Linked DNA regions of Oreochromis niloticus. The protein of the gene in region 2 binds, or shares a complex with, the protein of the main gene of each other region. Links are inferred from orthologs where the notes say so. Each region holds a gene or a part of one and is shown on either strand. Other genes may lie near its edges.

What was found. Proteins that work in one complex are often made in the same cells at the same time.
Region 1: virma (region 2) and mettl14 share a complex: the UniProt entries of both Homo sapiens proteins name them as parts of the WMM complex. The link is inferred for Oreochromis niloticus from reciprocal best matches to the Homo sapiens genes VIRMA and METTL14.

What each region holds. Positions count from the first base shown.
Region 1 is NC_031971.2:20,855,412-20,862,519, reverse strand, and holds the start of mettl14 (N(6)-adenosine-methyltransferase non-catalytic subunit METTL14), read left to right. Parts: upstream 1-4,094; 5' UTR 4,095-4,276; coding exon 4,277-4,342; intron 4,343-4,743; coding exon 4,744-4,832; intron 4,833-5,161; coding exon 5,162-5,249; intron 5,250-6,923; coding exon 6,924-7,001; intron 7,002-7,108. Other genes in the region: prss12 (neurotrypsin), read right to left, coding at 1,247-1,385, 2,450-2,783. UniProt on the Homo sapiens protein: The METTL3-METTL14 heterodimer forms a N6-methyltransferase complex that methylates adenosine residues at the N(6) position of some mRNAs and regulates the circadian clock, differentiation of embryonic stem cells and cortical neurogenesis.
Region 2 is NC_031976.2:20,073,933-20,081,269, reverse strand, and holds the start of virma (protein virilizer homolog), read left to right. Parts: upstream 1-4,309; 5' UTR 4,310-4,384; coding exon 4,385-4,447; intron 4,448-4,909; coding exon 4,910-5,022; intron 5,023-7,337. Other genes in the region: esrp1 (epithelial splicing regulatory protein 1), read right to left, coding at 1-107, 183-237, 610-753, 1,940-2,051, 2,415-2,531, 2,650-2,808, 3,200-3,331. UniProt on the Homo sapiens protein: Associated component of the WMM complex, a complex that mediates N6-methyladenosine (m6A) methylation of RNAs, a modification that plays a role in the efficiency of mRNA splicing and RNA processing.

The DNA.
Region 1 (7,108 bases), on a different chromosome or scaffold from region 2:
TGCAGACCCTGAATTGGGATAGAGCCCAAATCCGGTCATTGGTACTTCCTGGCTTGTGTAGTTACTAGGTAACGAAAGCTCAACACTGCCCCTAGCGTCCTGGAGCACTTCCGTTGTGTTTTGGAATTTGCAAGTGTTTTGGAGTTTGCATGTGTTTTGGAGTTTGCAAGTGTTTTGAATTTTGCAAGTGTTTTGGATTTTGCAAGTGTTTTGGAGTTTGCATATGTTTTGGAGTTTGCAAGTGTTTTGGATTTTGCAAGTGTTTTGGAGTTTGCAAGTGTTTTGGATTTTGCAAGTGTTTTGGAGTTTGCATGTGTTTTGGAGTTTGCAAGTGTTTTGAAGTTTGCAAGTGTTTTGGATTTTGCAAGTGTTTTGGATTTTGCAAGTGTTTTGGAGTTTGCATGTGTTTTGGAGTTTGCATGTGCTTTGGAGTTTGTACGTGCTTTGTCTCTAGGGGCCACCGTACCATCATGCCACCCGACACTGATCCAAATCTCATTTAAGAACAAGAGTTATGAATTACAAGCAGGCAGCTTTATTAACCTGCTAGCAGTAAGCTTGAGCTGTCTGCACATGCATAATCTGTTGTTCTGGGCCAATGCCATCAGTAGTTCTTATACCCAACAGCTTTCAATAATTAAGCATCTGAAAGTCATCACCAAGCACTCCAAATGACATATGCCTGGCATTTGCCCTTTTTCCTTTCTGCTGTAGACTTTCATTGACTCCCGTGTGAATACAAACACACACGCAGGCAAGTGTTCGTATGTGCCATGTGCCAGCGCTGGTGTTAGTGACAACATGTGCAATAAGTCAAAGAGTTTCTCTGTTCTCCAGGGAGAGCAGGACACTTTCTCACCTGACTATGGACACTGCTGTTATATACAATCTGACTATAGGCTCCCTTGAGAAGCATGACTAACATCTCATAATCAAGTCCACGACACACAGCTAGAGGCAAAACAGAAACAGAGAGCGTAGGAGTGTGCGGGAAACAACGTAAATGGCACGACACTCAAGGTATTTAAGTGCCTCTGGGGAATAGAGGGCTGGAATGTAAAGAAGAGTAGGAGCAGAAAAGAGGAGCGTGCTTGAATGAAGCTCTGTTAGACCACTGTAAGCAGTTATGAATTTAACGGCAAATGGTGACAGAACCTGCACCTGTGTCTGACGACGTTTGTGAGAGGGAGGGATAAAATAAATACCGCACATTTAAGCACATGTGTACACGTTTGTGCTCTCTCACCCCTTGCCCAGCAGTCTGCAGACCACTGTAGCATCTTCCTCTCCCCAGTCGTTGCTACAAATAGACCCCCACGTTCCCCCAAGGTACACTTCGACCCGGCCGTCTAGCTTGGAGCGGCCACCTTGCAGACGGACGGAGCCTGAGATGGAAAGACGGTTGGAGAAAAGTAGATGTAAAACTATATGTGATGTGCAAAAGAAGCTTTTTGGGGAACATTGAACTTAAAGTCTGTGTGTGTGTGTGTGTGTGTGTGTGTGTGTGTGTGTGTGGTGGTGCTGGTGGGGGGGTATCTGATAAATCATCAGATATACTAACAGGTGTTTTTGTGTATTTTACCACATCAGATGCAAAAAATAAGACTAATGTAAAAAAGTGAAATATTACAGAATGCAAAAGATGTGTCTGTGACTGTTTTTAAATGTGACACCTTTTTATATTTTCTACCTGCACAGCCTTTTCCTTCAAAAATGGAGAGACATGTTCCTCCTGTACTGCCCCACAATGCAAATCATGATCTAAATATTTATAACCCATAAGATGAATAAGATTAATATAAAATGAAAAAGCTGCATTTTTCTGATTTATTTGATTTATTATTTGCAGTTATAGTCACTCGGTGTGTGAGCATGCATCAGGGTAACCTGGTTGCTTTACATTGTAAAGTAAGAAGCTTACAGCGAATGCCTCAGTCCAAGTCCATGCTAACACACACATACACACACACACCTGGCGTCCTGTGGCTCTCTTCCTTGTGCAATAGTAAACACACTGAATCTGGAGACCTCACTTACAGCCATGTAATTGTTAAAACGTTCAGTAACAGACACCAAAACTGTGATATAATACAGCTGCATATGGTTAAAAAAAACAGAAGAAGCTGAAAACACAAATGTTTTCACATGAATAATCACATTCACACTCTGGTAAACCAAAGGTATGATCACCTTTAATTATTCCATGGGTGGATGCTCTGTGACTCAGCTGCACAGCACTGTAAAAACACATCTATCTACAGCTGCTCAGCCTATACAAAAATGTACATTCCATTCATATTGGCCTTGCTGTAGCATGTCTTGAATCCTGCTCGTCTGGGGATTTCACCTTCTTCTAGGTTTAATATTTGTAGCCACGTTCAACAATTTCGAGGCTGTTAATTCCTATAAAACACAATAAAGCTGCTGCTCTGTAGGCCTGCGTGTTTACCTTGTTTACAGTCGCAGTACCCCCAGTCTACTCTGCCTCTGTGGTTCCTAAAAAAGCACCAGGGTCGGATTCGGCCGTCCGGGTTGCGACAGTGGTTGTGCTCGCCTATGCCTTTGCCCGGGTAGCGCTCCTCGAAGCCGGCCACTTCGGTCCAGTTCATGCACCGGGTACCGGACTCGGTGACGTCTATCGCTCCCCGGTAGAAGCCGTCTTTTCCACGGCTTCGGGCGCAGTCGGTGAACGGAAGGATGAATGAAGGGACGCTGCTGGCATAAAAGCAGCAGCTGATCGCAGCCAAAAGAACGGCTTTTAAAACAACAAATGGCACACTCATGTTAGGGCTATGACGGATCCTATCATCAGCTGAGGGTTTCCACGCATCCAGTCAGCCTCTCGCCCAGCCGTGGGACGAAAGTGAGAACGACGCGGATCGATGAAACCCCCTTTTCTTTTTTGCATAGGCAAGGCAGTCCTCCAACGAAAATTCAATAACATAGACTACATGATTGCTTCGACCAAACTGCAGTGTACCTATATTTAATAGGAATGGGTTTTTTTTAGATATTTTTTTTTCGCATTGTTTTATATATTTCAGTACCCTTTACTACTCATTAACCACTCGACCAAGTAGTTTAGAAATATTCTATAAAATCAAATCTAAAACCCCTCCTGACGGACAGCATTCAAATCCTCTCAAATATTAGGGCATTTGCTCTAATAACGTAAAACATGAAAATACGTGGTATTTAAATTTTAAAATGCTTCTACTTAAAAAAAATATATATATATATATATATATATATATATATATATATATATATATTTAATATTTATTAGACGGTGGTGTTCCTATTATTGCTCAAATTATACGTATTCAGTCGTTTGGAGCCGATTTGTAGGGAGTTCATTTGAGATGCGTTCTTGCAGGTGAGTTATCTGAAGCACTTGCTTTTATCATTTTGCACAATTTTCTCCTGCGCAATCTTCTCTCAAAAATGCGTACGCTTTTTCATTGCGTGTCTTTCACAACTTGAATCTTTTGTGACGGATCGTGTCTGCAGGAGTTTAACAACGTGATGTGCTTGAAAGATAACAAATGTTAAGAATGACTTCTCAGTGAACCAGTGCGTGAAAACTCAACACCAATAAAGTCAGCGACGAAATCAACGCAGTGAGGTGTGCTGGGATTGATTGTTGACATGCTAGACCGGCCTTCCTGTCAGTGGTGGATACGCCTTGAGGTAACGTGAGCGCTCTCTGCTGTGATTGGTGTTTAAATTATTAGTCGGGAGCCCTCGTGGGATCTGTCCGCTGCTGCTTGAAGAGCGAGGAGAACTAACCGTCTCTGATTGGAAGACGACTTGCGAAACGTCAGAGATACACGCCGAAAATTGTGACATCATCGCACCGCGTCCGTTCAATCACAAAGGGGTTCACTCTTTAATTAATACCGGCGTACACCGCCAATCGCTGAGACAGGCGGTAAATCACTCTTTTCTTAAGACCCAATCATTGTTCATACTATGATGGTTTAACCAATACAGTTAGGCATAACTGTATAGGAGCCAAATACACATGTGCCTTTGACTCTCATTTTGAACAAACTCCACCTGCTGATGGGCAATAAAGTGGCACGCATAGTGCCTGTGCGTACTGGTGTCGAAACCGATTGCACCTATCGACTTTTCCATTTTTTAGCGGTTATCCCCCATTAGCCGGTTGCTAGCTGTTGTTACAGATAGCAATAAGTGTTATATGAACATATTTTATTTACACCAGCCGCCAAGGGGGTTTAATACTGTGTCAGAACCCGGTACATAAGACGCAATGAACAGCCGTCTTCAAGAGATACGCGAGAGACAAAAACTTAGGCGGCAGCTGTTAGCTCAACAGGCAAGTACACAACGAGCCCTCCAGCTGCCTGTCAACTTACCTACATACCTAACGGATTTGTGTTAATAACGTGGAGCTAAGCGTGTTATGTGCAAAATGGATTTTCAGATAGTTTTCCGCCCAATACACCGATGTATGGGTGCCGATAACAAGCCTACCCCTTTAAAACATTCAGAGTGGTCGCCCTTGAGAGGAGCAGACTCGGTGTACGTCTAAATAAAAGATTTGAGCGCATTGAGGAGCCATTACAATTATCCGTAACGCTATGGAGTCACGTACCAGCAGTACAAAATACCAAGGGGTGTTTTATTAAGCACATGTTTCGTCATAGTTGGCACTGTATTGTTAACAGAACACAGGCAGGAGGGACTTTATATTTACTTGCTCTATCGTTACCACAGCTGGGAGCTGAAAGCGCAGACAGCATCGGAGCAGTCCTACACAGTAAAGACGAACTAAAAGAGATCGAGGAGACTAGAGAAACATGCAGGTAAGCTATAGTGTTGGTACTGTTCATGGTGGCTGTGGCTCAGGCGGTAGAGAGGACCATCCACCAATCACAAAGTCTGTGAATCATTCCTCATCGCCACATGTTGAAGCATCATTAAGCAACATACCCCCCAAGTTCCCCTGAACCGTTAAGAGTCCCAGTCCGTTTACTAAACTGCAGAAATCCTCAGAAGCATTTTTCTCTTTGGGTTTACTGCATGCACAGTCTTTTTGTCATCTTATGAGCTCCGTGATGTCATTTTTTTCAGTACCAAATGCTTGCTTTGGGACTAAGGAAATGTTGAAATATAGAGGTGTATTCGTTTTCAGGGCTTCATATGACAGCACAGCCCCATCTTCTAAAAGGAAAGCACAGACAGAAGGAGAGGACACAGAGGAGGATGTGGAAGAGCAAAAGGTGAGTGTAACCACATAAATGTTGAGTTTATGAGATTTGGCACTATATAAATAAAACTGAATTAAAAAGCCTGGATGTGTCAGGAGGAGTTAAGTATTGTGACATTGTGCCATAGACAGCAATAACATATGCTTAAAGTGGTGGAGCTTATGGCAAAGCTATGTTCAAAAGTGTCTTTATCTGACAGTACAGTTAAAATGGTCACTGACATCAGTAGTGACGACATAAAGGCTCTTATTCTACAAGCATCAATACAGGAGTGCCTTGAAATTTGGCGTGACTTGTACACAAAGGCTTGTAAAGGTCTGGATTAGAGGACAAAACTAATCTGCTAATCTCTTGTCTGGTAAATGCTGTCTTTGAGCCAGAGTTTGACTTTGCTCTTTTGCATGACTATAATGACGTAAATACAAATGACTTATGAAAAAGGTGGAAGTATTAGATCATTTTTCCATTTAATACTTTAAAGTATTTTTAACACTACAACCCATTAAAGGTTTTAACAGATTATATCTTAAGGTAATGAATTGTATGGTGAAGTATAGATTTACAATCGTAATTTCAAATAAGTTGGCATGCTGTGTGTGGTAATAAATTGAATGAATAGAACAGAATAAAGTACAGAAAACATGTAAAATATTGAAACATTTTGCTATTTTATTAAAACTAAATGGTTAGCCCAGAGATGGATTGGCAAAATATGATAGCTGGGATAGGCTCCAGCCCCCTGTGACCTGCAACCCTAATAAGGATTATGGAAGGGAATGCATGGATGGATGCATTTAAAAAAAAATGGCCTTATGGAATTTATTGGCAGCAACACATTTCAAATCTCACTGTTGGATGCTGGTGATGTTACATGGTGCTAGACTGCATGGGCTCCAAACACTTCCAGTCTGTGAACAGAGCTTACCTTGGACTGTAGAGCAGTTGAGACGTGTTCTCTGGATTGACAAATCATGTTTTTCCATCCGGCACTCCCCTGGATGGGTCTGAGTTTGGAAGTTATGTAGAGTCCAGGTGCTGAACTGGTCTGCTTGCAGTCCAGACCTTTAACCAATTTAAAATATCTCGAACATCATAAAATGAGACGTGCAACAAGGAAGACCCAGGAGTGCTGAGCTGCTAAAAGGCTATATCAGATAAGCCTAGCAGCTGGTCTCCCAGACATTTACAGACTCTTGTTAAAAGAAGACGGGGTTCTACACAGTCCGTAAACATGGCCCTGTTCCAGCGTTTTGGGGAAGTGTTATTGCCATCAAATTCATGATGACCTATTGTTTTTCTTAAAATGGTACATTGTCTCAGTTTCTGCAGTGAATAAAACATGGGTTATGAGATCCGCAAATCATTGTATTCTGGTTTTATTTACATTTCCCACAATGTCTCAACTTTTTTGGAATTAGTGTTGTATTTTAATATAGTGCAAAATGCATTGATTCAGATGTGTTAGAACAAATGTATGGAAATGTGGACAGATTTAATAGGCTGACAATGTCCCATCTCCCTCTTTGATTTCCATCTAACTGATTTAATGTTTTTTGTACATTTGTGTCTTTGTCTTACTCTCCATATTAAACAGTGGTGGAGTTTATTATAGTTAGCAATTCTCTTGTTTTATTATGCAATTACATTCGGCTGTATTCGTTTGCTAACCACATGTTTGTGTTTTAGGATGAGTTGGAAGTGCAGCAACCAGATGAAACCAACCCATACGAAGAGGTGTACAAGGACTCAAGTACTTTTCTTAAGGTTGGGAAACTCTTTCTTTGCATTCACAGTCTCATTTATGTGGACTTGCATAACCTGTTTCCACACAAAGTATCCAGCAACTTTAAGACAAAAAAATGTTTTTGAAT
Region 2 (7,337 bases):
CGATGTTGAGACCTCTGAAGAATCGAGCGATATCCTGGTCAGAAGACTGCCACGGCAATCCTCTGGCTCGGATCACCGTGTTGTCGCACACTTTCTCCATTTTGCTGCTGCACACACAGATATTATTACAGGGGATTATCAGGGAATAAAAACAACGTGTATCTTTAATAAATGTTGCTCACCAAGTGCCGCTCTCGAACTTCTCATTAACTCTCTCTGGGTTAGAAAACGTGTGGCCTGCAACAGCAAAGCGACAGAGTCACCATGATAACACACACAGTAATCAAGCTGAGACAGTTTTTAAAAGGCAAAGCAAATGGCTGAAGTCTAAATCAGGTAAGACCTTACATTTCTTTTCATCTTAATTAATGGTTTGTTAAATGGCACGCTCAAAAGTGGCACTCCAAAATCTTGGATCATCAATTTTTTTAATGATTTTTTTTGAAAAATTAACATTTCAGTTATCCTCAAGAGAGGTTCTAATTAAGTTTCTATTTTAGTTCACAGCAGGGTCTTACTTAAAGTAACAGTTTTGGAACTCATCAGTAGTTAAATCGATTTACCTGACGTGTCGTGCTAATGTTACTCGGTAATGTACACGGTACTTACAAAATGGCTCGGATAGCAGTGCCAGGACAACGCTGGACATAAGCTGAAGCTGCTTTGTGGCTACTTCTGCAGGTAAAGGGACCGATGGATCCAGTGTGGCAGAGGGGTCCCACATGGTGGGCACATCAACAGGTATACCAAGAGCTGAGGAGGAGGTGGTTAAGGAGCCCAAGCAAGGGAGCGACAGTGTTATTAATCATGAATACGTCATGGTCCAGCAGGATTGGAGGTTTGTTTTCTTCTTTTTTTCCTCTCTCTCATTTTCTAAGTCCATTTTCAGTTTAGTTGGAGTTGTATGCTTTGAGTGGAGCCCACTCTCTCAGCCTTCTTCTACACCTGCTCTGAATCGCCTCATCAACCTGAAGTATTAAAAGGCAGGATATCCGCAAGATCGCTACACCGATCATGGTCGTAACCAGGCCCTCGGCCCTCTTTGTTGTTAAGTTCTAGTTAACCTCGCTTCTCTATTTGCCCTCTAATCTCTTGCTCCAAATTCTGCTTACGACTTATCCTCATTCCCGAGGAGCTCTGCTCAAACCACCAGGTAAACTCACCTGGCTGCCCATGCTCCACCACCGCCAGCCTTACCTCTCTCTAGATTCCTGCCTGCCTTCCTGTAACCCTCCTCCACGATTCACATCTGCAATCAAGTAAGCTTTTTTACCTGGATCACACAAACCAGGATGTTCATCTGCATTTAGAGAGGCCAGCACTAAATCCCTCTGTCCTCTCCAAAAGAAGATCCGGTTGTGTAGCAGCAGCGTCATTTGCCTGCTCCCAAATAATTTCTGTTGCTGGTTTAATAATTTTTTTAAAACTAAGTCTGATCTGTCTCCAAAAGTCTGATCTGTTTTTTCCCAAATCATGACAGAATAGACAGGTGTGTGAAAAAATGAAAAAAGTGAAAACAGAACAGCAGAAGACAAGGTTAGAGATACACATGTGTTTTTCTTCCTGTACCTGTGTGTGCGTTTGTTTGTGTGTGTGTGTGTGTGTGTGTGTGTGTGTGTGTGTGCGTTTGTGTGTGTGTGTGTGTGTGTGTATGGGGTTGGTCCTGTTGGGTAAACACACACTCTTTCACTAAGGGCTTAGTAAGGTGCTGCCACTCTTTCCTTATTTGCATTTCAAAACCTTTATCCCTACAGCCAACAGCTCAATGCACATGTGTTGTGGATTTTTGAGGGTAATGCAACGCACAGTATGAGAAAGAACCAATCAATCGGATCGAATCAATCAAGCAAAATAACAAGTGTCTCGAAATCCATGACGGCATAAACGGGTAACAGGACATGAAATGTTAATGTAAACAGGTGACGTGTTAAAAGGATACACTCTGCCATGGTGTGGACATTCAGAGCTTTGAGGTCAGGAGCGGGGAAGTGCTTCTTGAACTCCTTCCGAAGGTCAAAGAAAGAGTAGAAAGAGTCTGGGACCAGGATGTTCTAGAGAGGAATAAATTGTGTGAGTGAAAGGCCCATCAGCAGCTGCTCTTTTTATTGCTCTGATACTCATGTTTGCACAGGCCACAAGAGCATGCACTGCCTACTTCTTCTATCATTAACACACAGTTTTAAAACACTTGGGAGAAATTTCATCAGCCTCATTGTGTGCCTGTCTTTTATCTGCATGAGTGTACGGTATGCGCATGGGCGTGTGTCACCATAGTGGCTTCTCCTGTAGATCAACTTTCAGTGTTAACATTAAAGTTCAGCGGGCAGTGCGATGCTGACACAACACATCCCTCTGAGAGCGTCGAAGGCTCCCGCAGCAGCGAGCGAGCGAAACATCCGCCCCGGCTTGCTCACCTTGCTCGCTGCCTCGGGGTGAATCACTTGGCGGATGTGGAGCTGCCCGTCTGTACACAAACACACCGATGTGCCTGCGCCCGCGCTGTTCACCTCATTTGTCAGTTGCAGATGAAACTGTAAAAACATTTAGAGGTATGAACTTTAATACAGCTGCTTTAACCAGCGCTGTAACGGTAATTAGTAATCAATAAATGGCCTATTAATGGATTTCTGGCCACTTTGAAGACATTACCATGTTTAAAGCTTTATCAATGCTCGGTGCTTTGTACACACAGTCTGCTCCAGATCCATTCTCCTGTTCCACGCTCTCCTCCACCACATCCTCCTCCTCTTTTTCTTCTGTCGAGTCTGAGAGGTCAGGCTTTATGAGGAGCTCATTCACCTTGCCCAACTGGTTCAGAGAGGAAAAAAACAAGTCAGCCTTGAAACAGCAAGCCTAGCTAGAAACTCAGAGGCTTTGGAACAATATAATGAAACGAGCATGAAATATATGTGTTTGCTAAATAGATATTATCACAGTGGAATGCAGGAAAGGATCAATTTAAACGTCTTCCATGTAAGGGAGAAGGTTTTTTGTAATTAAAGAGAATAATGATTTCTGAACAGGTGTGTGTAAGCAGGAATCCCACAAAAATCCCCCTGGCACACCTTTCTTGCTGTTAATAGAGGTCTGACATTATGTATTGCAGTCCACCTGTCCACTCCTTTGAACACCACATTTCCTGCTTTGGAGTCTCGATGATTAGCAAAAAAGATCAAGCAGCCTACAAGTGAGTTGTTACCTTTTTGTTCTTTACATCCACGAGCTGCCAAACCAACTGCACGAGCTCCTTCTCGTCAGACCCCAGGAGATCTCCGCTCGCGCCAGATGTGGCGGTGAAAACCACCACCAGGTAGTCTACCTGCGCCGTCATCTGAATCTAAAACAGACCACAGAAAACTAATCTAATACTAAACGAGACTAAAAGGGACTCAAGATCAGCGGGATGTGAAACGCAAGCGGGACGCGGGAGGTAGAAACACCTTTACTCTGACACCTGAGCGCAAAGGTGGGTTCCGTAAATCCAAAGTTTCGTCGCGTGTGAGATTTTATGTGAAGCCTCCCGCAGTCACCATCGCGAAGCAATGGCTGAACGCTCACCGCTTTTGTAGTGAAGCTACCTGTGCGACCACGTGACCCCTTCACCTGGCCCCTCCCTCTTTCAGGTGGTTCAAAGTTTAGTACGTGGCAGCTCACGCAGGACAGAAAAGGTAATAAATAGTTATTAATATATAACAACAACGACAAAAATAAATAATAACATAATATTAATAATAAATGTGTTATATTTTAGTTACTATGCAGTTAATTATTAAAATAATGTAATAAATGTCTCCATAACAATTCAACAAATCGCATTCAAGTCTTAAAAAAAGGAATTGACAAGAAGAAGAAGTAAAAGAAGAAAAAGAAGCAGAAGAAGAAAAAATGCTCGTGAGAACATTTCGCATTTTATGCTGAAATACGGAAAAAAATTCCGTGAAATCCGTGTAAAAATGAAACAGTTAAAAAAAAACTTAAAAATACTAATACAGACCAAGTGAAGCTATCATGTTATTAAATCATAAAGTTATTAAATTATGACTTCGTGATATTTTGCTTCAATGAAAATATAAACTGAGTAATTGATTTAAATTTTTTTAAATAAAAAATAAAATTTCTTACAACAACAAAAGTATTCCAGAAAACGCTTGTCAACTTTTTTTCTCCTAAACAAATATAAATTTTCCAACTATATTTCTCATAACAACAACAACTATTACCACTACTACTACTACTACTATTGTTGTTGTTGTTGCTGTTGTTATTGTTGTTATTTTTAATTTTATTTATTTGCTTCAGGGTTGTTGGGGGTGGGTTGCTTACTCCGGAAGTATTCACTTTAATCCGGAAGTTTACCCCTGGCCCGGCCGATAGCACTGGAGCGATGGCGGGGGACCCTTCAACGGAGCTTCTTTTTCTGGATACGTTTAAGCATCAGAGTGCAGAGGTAGTGTTTTTTAACACTTAAACACACTCTTTTATGTTTACCCCATGACTACCTGCATTAAAAGTTAGTTTTAAGCGCATTCAGGAGTTTTGAGGAAGGATGCTTAACTTCCAGGCTAACGCTGTTAGCTAACATTAGCAGCGGTGTGATGTCATTATCCTGGTTTTAAGCGGCGATTACTGCACAGCTGTCCGATTATACAAAACGTGTGTTTTCGGTGTCAATGCAATCCTCATACATTAGCAGCTAAAAGAGTTGCCGTCTTTTGTGTCCTTGCACAGTTTGATTGATGGTTAGCCAGGTGGCTAATGCTACATCAACATTACAGTATCCCCAATATGTAGAGTGGCTAAGCATGTTTACCACGAAGCGGGAGTAAAAGTGACTTCTGCGGATGCCGGGGGCTATAAATTATGCATTTCACCATTGTTTGTATCAGTAATCATGTCTCCTTTGTTTCAGTTAACCAACATAGACGTGGTGCGCTTTCCCTGCGGGGTGCTGATCACAGAGGTGCGGGTCATTCCTCCAGGGATCAAAGCTCACAGTAACCTTCCTGACAGCAGAGCGTTTGGGTAAGATTCATCATGCCCGCATGAAAACTCATGCACACACTCATGGATCTTATTGCTACACCCAGTTAGGCTGAATGCATTCTAATCTAACAGCGTTGCCAGCATGTATATCGCACAGTTGTCTCAGTACTAATTGAGATACTGTACCTTTAAAAGGCAAACACCATACATGATTTCAGTGTGGCTACCGTCCTCATCAATGCAGTCTCCTAGTAAAGCAAAACACACTCTGAGTTTTATAGGACTCATTGGACCATTTCACCTATTAGTTGTGCAGAGAAACTATTAACTTCTGCATCAAACTGATAAGGTTTCATTTCAGAACAATGATTGCCTCAGATGAATCCATTGGTGTGTGCATGATAGTTAGAAAGTGCTTAAAGCCATAGGCTAAAGCACTTTGAGTCATGGGTTAAGTATGATTCAGACTTCTATGGGGAATCTTTGTAGAGTTTACAACACTCTACATAAATAACTGATGTCAATGCTGACATTGAAGCTTGTGCTGGTGCATTACTTGTTAATTACCTTGTGATGGTGTCCCTGTGTTTTATATGTGTTGCCAGCTGATAGAAATAAATGAAATGATGTGAATTTGTTTGGGTTCTTTTTTAAAGCTTTTTGAGGGGAGGGGGTGCATTTGTCTCTGTAGTTGCTCCACTCCTTTATACCTTCCCTCAAGTCCATTCCGATACTTTTGGTAATCTCCCTCCAGGAATTTGCTGACATTTTTGAGTCTTTATATTTCTGCTATGGTAATTTTTTCTTATACTGAAGTGACGATTGTTATTCTGTCACCGCTAAATTCAAAAACTGTGGTGCAAAAGTAGCCAGAAATTCACAGGAGGGATCAGTGGTACTGAACAGGCCAGTCACAATTGTTGTGGGTTGCGCTGACCAAACATTTAGTTACGTTTCTAGGGAGGTTATTGTCAGGTCACGGCATACGTTTCCCGCTAAAGCACAAATTTCCAGTTAGGGTAGAAAGGTGCCATTTAATTACCAGTCCATTTTCAGTGAAAGAGCTGACATGGTTGATAGCCGTGCTTGACATTTTACACACAGTGTTGTGCATTATGAATTTGGTTTCTGGGATACTGTAATGTTGATGTAAGTGTCTGAGGGAGAACATTCGGAAAGAGTTCATTAAACAGTGCTCCCATTCGGTCTGTAATTCTGATTTTAATTTTGGTATAACAAATACCTCTTTTCCACTAGCACCTGCTTGACTTGACTGGACTCACTCTATTCTGCTCTATTCGGGTTCTATTCTACTTAGTTTTAGTCTTTTGTCATTATAACTGTGTACCACCTCAATGTGGGTGGGCCCGTGATAGAAATGTGGCCCAAAAGTCGATTGATATCATTTGTACGTGCCACAAACACAACAGTGTTCAAGCTCCCTTTAGCACAAAAACATCTGAACCTCGTTGTTGGAGCACGGCGTTGGTTTGTTTGCATTTCCCTCGTTGCTGAGTTTTAAAAATGGCATGTTTGATTCTTGTGAAGGTGTCTCACTCATGACTAATCTGGTGATATCCCTCTCTGGCCAATCAATGACATGGAGTCTGTTAAGGTCAGGTTTTTAGCTGGACTCAAGTCGTTTGGAACCCTGGCCAAGTACTAAAATGTACCTGGTATTACCACTTAATGGAAAACCCTAAAACTGAGTCAAGTCGAGTAGGTGCTAGTGGATAAGAGGAAATACTCAATGGTGTCACCTTTGTCCCAATGCTAGAAATCAGAATTATATAAGAAAAGCAAACGTTGAATTGGTTTTGAGTTGCAAAAAACCTGGGGTCTTATTGCTAATGATATATTGCCTGTGGAGATGTTTTGGGGGTTGCTTTTTTTTTTTCTTTTTTTTTTTTCTCTTTTTGCTATGGATACCTGAGATAAATGTGTGTGTCTGGGGGAAATTGAGAAGCTTGTGTGAATAAAGAAGTGTGTGCATTTGATACCTGAGCTCCATTGTTGAACAGGTCCCAATTCCCCCCGAACCTGCTGAGTGATGTAATTTAGCTGAATGAACAGACTCAAGAATGCACAGTCCTCTAGCATTGGTATGCATTGTGGTAGTATTGATATTATGTTAAAGTGCATTTATTTTCTGGAAATCCATGATGTATAAGTAACGTCTGGTCCAAAGTTCTGCCATAAAAGCTACTTTTATCATAGCTACTGTGATCCATTTTTTGTTGATAGTCATAAAAGTTGAAATCAGTTTCATTTTTATACTGGGATCATTGCTGACGGTGGTGGTGGTGGCTTTTCTAATATTCTAACCCCCCCTATAAATTGCAACCACACCTTTA